Linked DNA regions of Caenorhabditis elegans. The protein of the gene in region 2 interacts with the protein of the main gene of each other region in a pairwise test. Each region holds a gene or a part of one and is shown on either strand. Other genes may lie near its edges. The genes, in order: rund-1 and unc-108.

Region 1 (5,922 bases), on a different chromosome or scaffold from region 2:
TTTATTTATTTTTTTCTGACATTTGTTATTTGCCAAGACTATTAAAAAATTGTCAAACTCCCTACTCACCAATTTGTCAAACATTTTAAAGTTTGGCAATTTCCGAAAATGCGGACAAACTCAAAGTTAGACAAAAAAAATTTATTTGTTTTAATATAAATTCATTGAGAAGTGAGCAAAAGATTTACTTTTTTAAGTAATGTGTATGTTAAGTTGCTAAATAACTAAATAAAATGTTTTCAAATTTTCTTGAAACATAAAACTTTGTTTTTGATCTCACTATCAGCTTCATTATATAGCGTTAAATCAAATTTGGAAAGTTTCGACAGGTTTTTCTCATTAAAATATTAGCAGGTCTCAGATACTTCGAGTTTAAAAGTAAAACAACAAATGCATAGGCTTGAGAACTTTTAGGAAATTAGAAACTTTATGTTTGTGGCAAGTCTTAGCAATTGCTGAATTTTAAAATTTTCAGAAATTTCAGTAAACTGTCGATTTGCGAAATTTACGGAGAAACGGCAATTGCTGAACATTTTTTGGTTTTTCAATTTTGAAATTTAATTTTCGAAAATTTAAAAATGAATGCATTCATTAAATTCTCTCAGAGCCAACACGAAAAGTGAATAAATTCGCGCCACTCTTAAACCAACGTTCCTCACTTCTCAACCAACTTTAGCTTCCCACCACTTTCAAACCATGTTTAACCACTTCTGAACCAACTTTGCCCACTTTTCTACCACTTTTAAGCAACCAGTCGCTTTGCAACCAACCTTCGCCACCTTTCGCCGTTTGTAGTCTTCTTTAGCCAACTTCAACCAACTTTAGCCACCTCTCAACCAATTATGGCAAACTTTGGCCAACATGTGTTCAATTGTTTTCAATGATTCAGAGCGAGATAATCAGAATTTCTTAGCCAAAAAAAAAGCGTTTGAGATACAGAAAAAACCTCTTTCATTTTTACTTTAATCTCTCTTACCCAATTTAACATACCATACAACTTTTGCCACATTTTCCTACAAAAAACATCAAAAACGGAAAACAATTTCAAAAACTTAGTTGTGAATGCTTTTTTAAATAATTAAATAATTTTTATTAGTTTTGATGATATTATTAAATATATTATTTGACAAATGACAAATTCGGCAGTTTTTCAAAAACATGAAACTAAATCCGCCAGTTCGCTATTTCGGTTTTTGTAGAAATCGTCGTCGCGCAACCCTGGAGCATTTTCAAAGCCATATGAAAATTAAACCCCTCCATGTCGAAAAAGCTCTCATAATTATGTCCGCCCACAAGGATTTCGTTCGTCATTTCCAAGACTAAAAGCGTCCCTTCTCCATGCTTCTTCCGTCTTTCTCCACGTTACCCATGGCGGTCGATAACCAAGAGCGACGACGTGAGAGTGCATGAAGAACACGAGACGCAGTTTGTTGCCTCATTTCTCTGCTCTCTTGCGTGCTCCGTTATTTTTCTCCTTCTTTTTCCCCTTTTTTGTCCGGCAATCCTTTTTAAAAGCATACGTCATCTTTTTCTTTTTCAGTTTTTCTCTTCTCTGAAAACCCTTTTAGCAGAAAAACGGAAATTGGAAAATGAAAAAAAAGTAAAGTATATATTGTTTTTAATGTTTCGTGATGTAATTTATTTGTCCACTCCCATTTTTCATTTTCATTTTGTTTCAATAAATGGAATTTGTTCAGCTTTCAATTAACAATCTCAAAATAATCATCACTTCAAACAAAATTTTGAAAATGTACGTGTTATTCATTCGTAATAATATATAATTATTTTTTTTATTAATTTTTTTTCAACGTATTGTTTCAGGTGCCAGAAATTTTGCCAAAATGATGAACGAGTTGGAAGCCAGCGACTTGCTAGTAGAGTTGGGTCAATCCTTAAAAAAGCGAGCGTCCGAAGATTCAAAAGAAATTGTGGATGGATTGGATTTTTGTGAGTTAAAAGTGATTTTTGTTTTCTGAAATAATTGTTTTCAGATGACACAATGTCTGAAACTGAATGGAAAAGTGCTCGGTTGTCTTCTAGTCATAGTGATGATATTGGGTAAGCTTTTTGTGTAAATTGTGGTCAATGCAACAGTAGGTTCAAAAATTTTAATCCTGAATATCTCATTAAATTGATGTAGTCCAATTATTTTTAATGCTTTATTTCATCAAAATCATTTTTTGACTTTTTCCATAACTTTTTTCGAGAAGTTTTCAAAAATTTTTATTATGAAATTCGGTAAAGCAATAAAAAAAAATTTGACTGCACTACCTTTAACTGATAAACTCAGAACTCAATTTTTAGAAGCTTAAACGATGCATTACGGGTACAACAATTGGAAGAAGAGCAGGAACGACTCAATAACTCGTTATTTTCCCTGAGCTCCCATTTTGCGCAGGTGCAGTTCCGGATAAAGCAAATGAATGAAGCGGACCCAAGCGATAGATTAGTAAGCTATTAGGCTCAGTTGCCTCATCTCATATGTCTTTTCCAGAAGTTGCTCTCTGATCTTCAAAAATTTGCTTTCAAGGGTTGCACAGACATGAACGAGCTGCAAAGGCTACGAAGTGAAAGTGAAAGTGGAAATGATGTACTAGACAAGCAAAATGAACGACAAAAAGAATTGCTAAAACAGCTCCGCGAGCAAGTAGAAGACTTGGAAAGGACTGCCTATGAAAATGGAGAAGGCGAGCTTCCAAGTACTGACATTTTGAAGAAACAGGTTTGTATAAAAGTAAGAGTTTATGCTGAATTTTAATTTGTAGAAAGCCGTTCTGGATAAACTCCGCGAAAAAATCGAGTTAAATCTAGACATAGATAAAATGAACCAAACAGAAATACAACGGCAAGTAGATGATGCTCTGAAGCAACTTGTCAATCCGTTCAAAGAAAAGGGACAACTAGTAGACCAACTTCAGACTCAGATCACAGATTTGGAACGTTTTGTCAACTTTCTTCAGAAAGAGAATGCTGAAAATTCGAATCAAACTACACCGGTTCGGGTATGATCATTGTTGTTTTTCACTAATTTTCTAGTCAATTTTTTCTTTCAGAGCATGGGATCAACGCCGCTGTCTGGTGCCAAATCTAAAAACGGATCATTTTTAAGTGGAATCATCGGGTGCTCAACAGGAAGGTTTCAGAAAAATCAGCTGAAAAATACTTTGAAAGGAAATCATTATGGGTTAGTTTCTCAAGTTTGTGATCGAAAAATATTTACGCTTTTTAAATCGATAAAAATATTTATTAAAAGTTTGATACAAACATGTGAGCAAAAAACACCACTATACGTGTTTGCTCAAACCACAAGATACAGATCACGTATTTGCACACATTTATTGAGCCAAACTTTAATGATGTGTGTTTTTGACATACTACAAGAACTTTGGGTTTCGGATATTTGTCTGATTATAAAAAATTTTAATTTTCACTTTTTCAAGTTTTGATTATGAAACGAACAATCTTCAATTGGTTCTAGCACTGACAAAATTAAATTTTGCACTAACCACTGACCAAAAAATGTAACTTCCCAAATATAATTTTAATGTTCGGTTTATCAAAATATTTTTGCCAAAAAAAACACGATTTTATTGTTCAATTTCCCACATTCACTTCCATTATGCGAGCATCTTTCATTCAAACTTTTTGCAGAGACGAACGGGCGCATGTGCAACTAGCAGTAGACGCCACACAACAAGTGCTGGAAAAATACACCCTACTGACATTCGACTCGGCAACAAAAGGCCAATTAGAAGAAGTTCAAGTAGAAAATGACGTAGGGCACAAAATTCACAAATTCTCACATGAGGAGATATTTCATTTCGCAATATCACATTTCAGGAGGTCTTTGAACGATCTGAAGAGGAAGTGGTAACTATTGTCCGAAAGCAGCTGTGTCTTGCATTGAAAGCCCTTCTAGAGCATGGGATGCTCTCAGAAACAGTGGTGCACAAGCGGATACCGGGGTTAGGCTGTTTTGTCGCAAAAAGCTCGGCGGACGAGAAATCAACGTCATTGAGTCATATTTGGGATGTGATTTTATACTTTTATAATTTAAAAACTGGAAGAGACACCACAGATGCTCCTGTAAGAAAATTGAGTCAATCCTTTAAATTGGATCACGTCGGAGGAAGAAGCATAACTTCAAAACAGGTAGAATCTGTTTTTTTAAGGACGCGAACAAGCGAATTAATTTTTTAGGTTTTGCTGACAACAATTGAAAACATCATCTCGACTCACGCAAGATTAAAAAGATCAAAAGATGCGCATTGGAAAGCATTTGTCTCAGCTGCTTTGAATGAGAAAAAATTACCTGCTTGGTTGAGGTACGGAAGTCTTTTTTTCGTAAAAAAACCGCGCAACTTTTGAATATTTAGATCATACGTTTACCACTTTGTGTACACAAAAAATAAGACGCACTCCAAAATACAGTGCAATTTTAGATCATGCCGTTCCTCCTAGACTGAAAACCTCAGAAAATGTAGAAACACGTCTGAAATAAATATTCATCTTGACAAGGACTTTATCCGCTTGAAATTCCATAAGAATTTTGATGTTTTACCTATTAGAACTTTGCAAGACATTAATTAACTTGTTAGTATTATTGCTAATAATCTCGTACGAGTTCATTTATTTAGGGTGATCTCAAACAAAAAACCAATTATTTTATATCAAATCCTTGAGCTGCTACATATATTAATACCCGTCAATTGCCCTTATTTCAAATGTCCAAACTAATTAAATTTGTTTGCAGGATCATATTTCGAACCCGACAAGTTGTCGAAATGTGCTACAACTCTTGGAGTTATGTTGCAAGAACAGGTGGGTACCATCTTCTCTTTTTTCCATTTTCAACTCGTTATTTTCAGGCTGTGAGGAACTCTACACACTTCTCGAAGGTCTTCACAAATATAGTATTCACTTACCGGTTGACTTGGCTTTGAGGCCATTCGAACAAATCAAAGACGCATTTTAGTACTATAATATCAAAAAATTTGTAATAAGCATATTAAAATGACTGGAACTGAACAATCAAGACAGTTTAAAACAGGTTCGGGATAAAATAAATTAATTGCCACTTTTTTTTTGAAAATTGTTTTATTCAATAAAAACAATAAAATGGAAAATAAATTACGTTAGTACTTAAATGAAAGTGTTGAAGTATGATTGATAATTTACCCAAAAAGATCAGTGAGAACATTTGTAAGATAATTGTATGGAGTTGCTTTTTTGCACTGTGACCAGTCGGCGTAATGAATAGGGTTGCTTCTGAAAAATAATTTTTTATGAAAAGTCAAATTCGATATGAATTCCCAACGGTTGTCGGATACTAAAAAACGTTTTCCGTTCATTAATGTAAGGACATCTTGCGGGCCCAAAAGCCCAACCTACCCTGTGACATCATCCATGAATCCGGCTTTTTCCAAATCGGTCTCCACTTGATCCTTGTACTCTTTATAGAACTTTCTCAAATCTCGAACTAAACCAATCATTGGGAAACGAGCCCAATTTGAGAGAATTAGGTATTCATACTGGTTGTGTTGCTTATTTATTGGGCCAACTACTACAATTTGATCTGAAATTAGTTTTTTGTGATATGTGAAAATTAGCAAAAAAGTTTACATGGACACGGATCATCCTGCATATAGACATATGTTCTCTCGTGATGAATTATTCCGTATCCAAATGCAACCTAAACTTTCAAAATAATATTCTTCAAAATAATTAGTAATTAATACTCACTTTCTCCCCCGCATCTACACTTCCTGCTCTGAACTTTTCCTGCAAACTGAAAGCTGACGAATTTCCCGATTCTGCTTGGGGCATGACTGAAATACATTTCTTGTTGGGGGTTGATAAATTACACTTACACTCAGTTGTAGCGCAATACCGATTATGAACAGATGGAGTGTCCAGAGCCTG
Region 2 (5,942 bases):
AACAACAAAAGTTTGAAATTACAGTACCCTTTAAAGGCGCGCACCTTTTCACATTAAACAAAAATTGTCGTGTCGAGACCTGGTACAGTACTTCTGGCACGAAAATCGAAAAATTTCGCATCTTCTAAGAAACCATATTTGTAAAGTTTCCAAAAAAAAAATCTTGCCACTAATTTCTTCTAAATTTTCGTCTCTCCCCATATTCTTATCAATTCAATCTTTTATCAATCAATCTGTAGAAAATAATCAAAAAGAACTTCAACTTTAAGAAAAATATATTCCATCCTCGACGAAACGCTCATAAAATTCATTTATTTCACTGAAAATTTTGATAGCTTGGAGACGTATAGTAATTAAATGGAAAGAATTAGAAAAGGAAAAAAGAAGTAGAGCTTACATACAAACTTTTAAGAGGAAATGAGGGAGAGAGAGCGGGATTTTCACAACATGTTGTTCTGATGGATTGAGTGGAAAATCACAGGAATTTCAGATATTCACACAATTGGTGAGAGACTGAATGAAAAGGAGAGAAAATAGAGAAAGAGAGGAGAAAGAGAAAAAGCAGGCGACAATATACAGTAAATGATGGTAGTAATAAGAGACAATTGCAATATATATGTAAAGTAAAATTATGGTTCTGGAAGAGAGAAAGGAGACTAGAAAAGTGCCTAACGACATTCGAAAAGAGGAGGAAACATAAAAAAGATTGGTATTCAAACGATTTAGTTAAAACATTCAAAGCTCATTCAAAGAAACATCATCAAAAATTAACAGCATCCAGATCCACCGCCCAATCCTCCCGTCGCATTTCCACCTGGAGAATTTGGTGAGCTTGGAGAGTGCTGTGGTCCCAACTTGATTCCGTTTGCCTCATTGTTAATGTCGAACACGCCTTCTTGAATCTTACGGTAGATCTCTTTGGCAGTGTCGATGAACGCCTCTTCCACGTTGGCAGCCGTCTTGGCAGATGTCTCCATGAATACGAGTCCGTGCTCTCGTGCGAATGCTTCTCCCTCTTCACGTTTCACTTCGCGACGGGCTTCCAGGTCACTGAAAACATTTATTTTATTTTTTTGAATAAAAATGTGTTTATTTGGAAAACCAAATTTCTATAAATTGTTCGATTTTGTAGAGAAATTTTTGAACAATCGATCCTTGAATTTTGCAAAAGGCAACTTGACACTTCACACAGAAAGAGATGCGGAGCGTGAATTCGCAACCCAGTGGCACTGTTTTTTCTCCTTTTTTTCACAGCTTTTAATCAAAAAGGTTTCGATTTTACTATTTTTTTAGTTTTGTTCTTTTTTTTCGAATGAGAATGCAGTGGAAAACCGGCGAAAATTTTTATTTTCAAAATTCAAGGATCGATCGTTGAATTTCAACAGTAGTTAACCTATTTTTCGATATATTAAAAACCAATAATCTATATTTTAAAAAAATGTTACCTCTTATTTCCAATCAACATAATAACCATATTGGAATTACTGTGCTGCCTGGCATCCTCAAGCCAAGATGTCAAATGATTGAATGTGTCGCGTCGTGTAATGTCGTAGACGAGAAGAGCTCCGGCGGCTCCACGATAATAGGAACGAGTGATGGAGCGGAATGATTCTTGTCCGGCTGTGTCCCAAATTTGAAGTTTGATCTGCTTTCCGTCAATTGTCACCATACGGGCTCCGAATTCGACGCCTGGAAAATAATTATTTTGAAAAAAAAACTTGAATAAAATTTAAAAATCGCACCAATCGTCAAATCATGAACTGGCTGGAAACGTTTGTCGGTAAACTGAAGGAGCAAGCAGGATTTTCCTACTCCAGTATCCCCGATGATAATGTACTTGAAAAGGTAGGCATATGACATTCTTCTGGAAGTTGATTAATTGATTAATCGATTATTGATTGATCGGAAAATGCTCAAAAAAGTGAAAAAAGAGAGAGAAAGGTGGTAGAAGTAATAGAAGAAGAGAACACACACACACTGAAAAAACATAAACTTTGGAAAATTGATGACGTGGTGTGGACGAGGCAGACCAATCAATACTTCCTCATGACTGAGGAGCGTAGTGAAGGAAGTTACGAAATGAGGTCGAATCATATGATGAAGATGGATAAGAAATAGGGAAAAGTTCGGCCAGCATGTTAGAAAACATTTTTGAAGCAAATAAAATTGGCGAAAATAGCAGAAAAGAGCAAAATTTTTGAGCAAAAAAAGTTAGTTAAAGTCAATATAACCTCTTCCAAACATATATATTCCAAGGAACCCATGCCTTTTTTTCACATTTTTTCACTCTCTCTCTCTTGCCACCGCCACCACCAACACAGCCAAAAAATCGAAGAGAGTGAGCGCGTGGTGAGTGTCTCGTGAGCGTGGTTGTGAGCGGAGGGTTATCTCTGCGTCTATAACAAGAGAGATGAAGAGAGATAGAGAGAACCAGAGAAAGAGAGGGAAAATGGGAGCAAAGAGATGTGTGACTATTTATTTCGGATGACGTGCTTCTTCGTTTTGCACACATACACACACAGAAGCATATCCTGAAAACGAATGGATCGAGTCGTTTTTTTTCGAGAAAAGAATAACACAAGTGATGAACGGCGGGTCTGGGTTTTATTTGGGAGCAGACTTTTTTTGCTGCCAAAAAATGTAAATTATTTTAATGAAACTACTGTACTTACTATTGTGGTTATTTCAAGGTGGAGTAGAGCCACAATTTTTTAGTTTAAATGACCGAATATAACTGCTTGAAAATTTAAAAAAAAATGTTAATGTTTTTTTTTTTCAATTTTGCCAAAATAAAATAAATGAGCAATAGGCTTCTTGGAGATATCTTTTTTTGCAAATTCAATTTTTTTTCGGATTTTCTTTTTCATGTTCCTTTAAAGGCACATTACATTAATTTCCATGGGTCTCGCCCAGATATGGACAAAAATTTTTTTCAGATTCTAAGACACATAGATCAGAAAAAAAAGAAATAAAGTAGTCTGCTGGCAGGAAACACGAATAAGAAGGTGCAATTGGAATTCATTTCAGAAGATGTGCGCTCGTGAGATCTCATATGTTTCTTCTTCTTTTTCTTCTTCTTCTTCCATGTCAAATGTCGGGGGCGCGGCTCTCTAGAATCGGGAATAAGAGAAAGCTGAGCGAAAAAGAGAGGGACTCCTTTTCCCTTTCGTGCTGTTTAATTGGGTCGAGCCCCTCGTAGCCATGCACAAAACCACACACACACATATATATATAGCCAAACAGAATTGGCAAAAGAGAGTGTGCGACAGATGAAAATTTCAAAAATTGATTTCCGGTCATGGGCTTTTGGAGAAATTATTTCAATTAGAAAAAAAAAATCTAAAGTACGATCACTTCATTGCAACTGCCTATGAAACAGAAGTGAATTACGAAGTTTATAATGAAACTGACGCCTCTCAACTAATGGCTTTTCTGTTATCTACATCGGGCAAACGAAAGTGTATGCGTTATCCTTTCGCCCTTTAATTGATCGCATAACTAACGATGTTCAAATTATTGTAGTCTCAATTGAGAGGGAAGTTCCAATTCACTGGAATGATCGAATAAATTTGTGGAAATTCATTTCAGAAGAGCTAGTAGACCTAGCATACATCGTAATAATTTAGGACCTACTATTATATCAATAATTTTTTTTTTAACTTTAAAAGTAAAAATCGGTAAAAAGTTTTAAAAACTTCAAATTATATGCTTAAAATCTAGGCCACTGGAATTAAAATAGCAGATTCTACAAAAGTCGTAATTTTACTCGAATTTTACTCAAATTTTCTTAACAAGAGAAGTGAATGTGAAAAAAAAGCTGGTGCATGGCCATATTAATAAACTTAGCCCAAAAGATTCAACTCTGCAATAGAGAGCTTCTCTTCCTTATTGGACTATCATCATACCCGTATAGCGGAGGCGCAGACATTGTGCTTATGTGAAGTCACGAGAATCACGGGTAGAGAAGACGACGACGACGACGACGCTGAATTCACGTGAATAGGGGGTTAGTGAGATTGAAACGAGAGAGAGAGACGTAGAAGACGTCAACTAGAGAGAGAGAGAGAAGATAGAAGCTGAAAGAGAGGCTTTGTTAGACGATGTTGGAGAAGACTGAATGGCTATAGAGTTCTACTCGAGTCACCAATTACGTGGAGCTGGAGAAGAAAAAAAAGAGAGAAAACAGAAAAGAAGAAAGACATCTTCAACGAAAACACACTCGGATCCTTCATTTAGCCGGACCTCGGGGCAAACAGATTTTGCATAATGAGCAAGGCGAAAGCTTGACGAATTTTTCGGTTAAGAAGAAGAAGAAGACGAAGAGGAAAGAATGCGGGAATATAGTCTCTTCAGGTGTACGAATAATCCTCCACTTCTGCTCTCTGAGAGCAACAATTGCGAATGAGCAGCACTATTGACGACACAACGTTGAGAAGAGACGGAGAGCATTTTTGCACTTTGACGAATACTAATTTGGAAAAAATGATATCACTCTTTTTCAATGTTGGGAAATTTTACATCAAGGGTGTCGGTTTTTGAATTTCCACTAAAAATCAAAAAAATTTTTTTAAATTTTGGCTATTTTTATTATTTTTTGAAAAGAAAATTAAAAATTGTTTTCGTAAATATATTTTTTCATCAACATCAAAAACAAAAATTGGTGAATTAAAAAACTTATTTCTAAGAAAAGTTTAGTTTTTCGATTTTAGCAAAAAATTGAAAACCTGACACCCTCGATTTTCAATACAGGTGGTTACTCCTTCGAGGAATCTTACGATATTTGATGAAAAGTAGGGTTTCCAGTCTCGAAACGATCGATCTCGCAGCTACCGTACTTTCAAAAATCACAAAATACTAACATTTGACTAGGAGCTCCTAGGGATGCAAGATAAATTGATGAAATCAAAAAAGAGAAACATCACTGTAAACGTTTTCAAAATCACAAGGAAAAGCAATTAGAAATTTCTAGAGCATCAAAAACTATGATAAGGATCTTTTGATAACAATAGTGACCCCCGCAAATGGGGGAAATTCAACGAAATTCGTTGAAATTTAAAGAGCAAGAGGTAAATACTTGGGTATAACTTGGGCCACATATTAAAATGTTAATTTTTTTAGTTAAATAAAATTTTCCAAGCCAAAAAAAAAAAAAAAATGAAGAAATAAAACAATTAATTATATTTAAAATTTAATTTTAAAATGTAGAGTTAAAATACACAAGTAAATATTTTCCAAACAAGAAAATATAAAATATATCAGTGTAATTTTAAAAAACACTTGAAAAAAAAAACCAAAATATAATCAATATTTTTTAAAAACAAGTTCATTCACAAACTCAACCAAACACACAACAAAACAGACAATAACAAAAAAAATAAATAGTGTGATGGTGGTGATCATGAAGAAAACAGGTGAAAGTGTATAGGTTTAAAGAATTAGAGTTTCAATTTAAAGAAAAAATGAATATATAAATAAAAAGTAAGAATCTAGGCCTTCGACGAGTTGTTCGTTTTCAGATTGTGGTCATCCTTCAGCTTGTTCAGCTTATCACGAGTAGCATCTGTAAAATAAAAATTGACATTTAATAATTTGATTAAAAACTCTAAAATTAGTACCGTGTTGAGTGGAGAGATCCATCAGCTTCTGCAGCTGCTTCTTCATAATAAGCTCAGTTTTCTCCAGCGGGGTCTCGGTTTTCGTCTTCAAAACTGTCGATTGCATTGTGTTAAGTGACTTGGTGATTTGATCGAGATCGAAGTCCGCACATTTCATTTGGGAATCCACGTTGAGCATCATTTGAGCGCTGGAATTTTTTTTTGAAATTATTATTTTGATTTTTAAGGGGAGTAAGGTCCAGGGCTGTCGCTTTTTGCTTTTTTTCTTTCGTCTTCAAGACTGTCGATTGCATTGTGTTAAGTATTTTCGGAACAAAAAACAAAAAA

Evidence for each region.
Region 1: the proteins of unc-108 (region 2) and rund-1 interact in a two-hybrid assay, tested with the Caenorhabditis elegans proteins (one study listed by BioGRID).

The regions. Positions count from the first base shown.
Region 1 is NC_003284.9:657,677-663,598, reverse strand, and holds rund-1 (RUN domain-containing protein), read left to right. Parts: upstream 1-1,821; 5' UTR 1,822-1,841; coding exon 1,842-1,947; intron 1,948-1,991; coding exon 1,992-2,058; intron 2,059-2,304; coding exon 2,305-2,449; intron 2,450-2,494; coding exon 2,495-2,722; intron 2,723-2,765; coding exon 2,766-3,002; intron 3,003-3,053; coding exon 3,054-3,184; intron 3,185-3,651; coding exon 3,652-3,775; intron 3,776-3,840; coding exon 3,841-4,152; intron 4,153-4,200; coding exon 4,201-4,325; intron 4,326-4,753; coding exon 4,754-4,821; intron 4,822-4,868; coding exon 4,869-4,975; 3' UTR 4,976-5,122; downstream 5,123-5,922. Other genes in the region: lpr-7 (Lipocalin domain-containing protein), read right to left, coding at 5,175-5,268, 5,392-5,575, 5,623-5,692, 5,743-5,828, 5,871-5,919.
Region 2 is NC_003279.8:3,820,869-3,826,810, reverse strand, and holds unc-108 (Ras-related protein Rab-2), read right to left. Parts: upstream 3,929-5,942; coding exon 3,906-3,928; intron 1,865-3,905; coding exon 1,743-1,864; intron 1,690-1,742; coding exon 1,446-1,689; intron 1,051-1,445; coding exon 768-1,050; downstream 1-767. Other genes in the region: npp-11 (Nsp1_C domain-containing protein), read right to left, coding at 5,487-5,560, 5,616-5,803.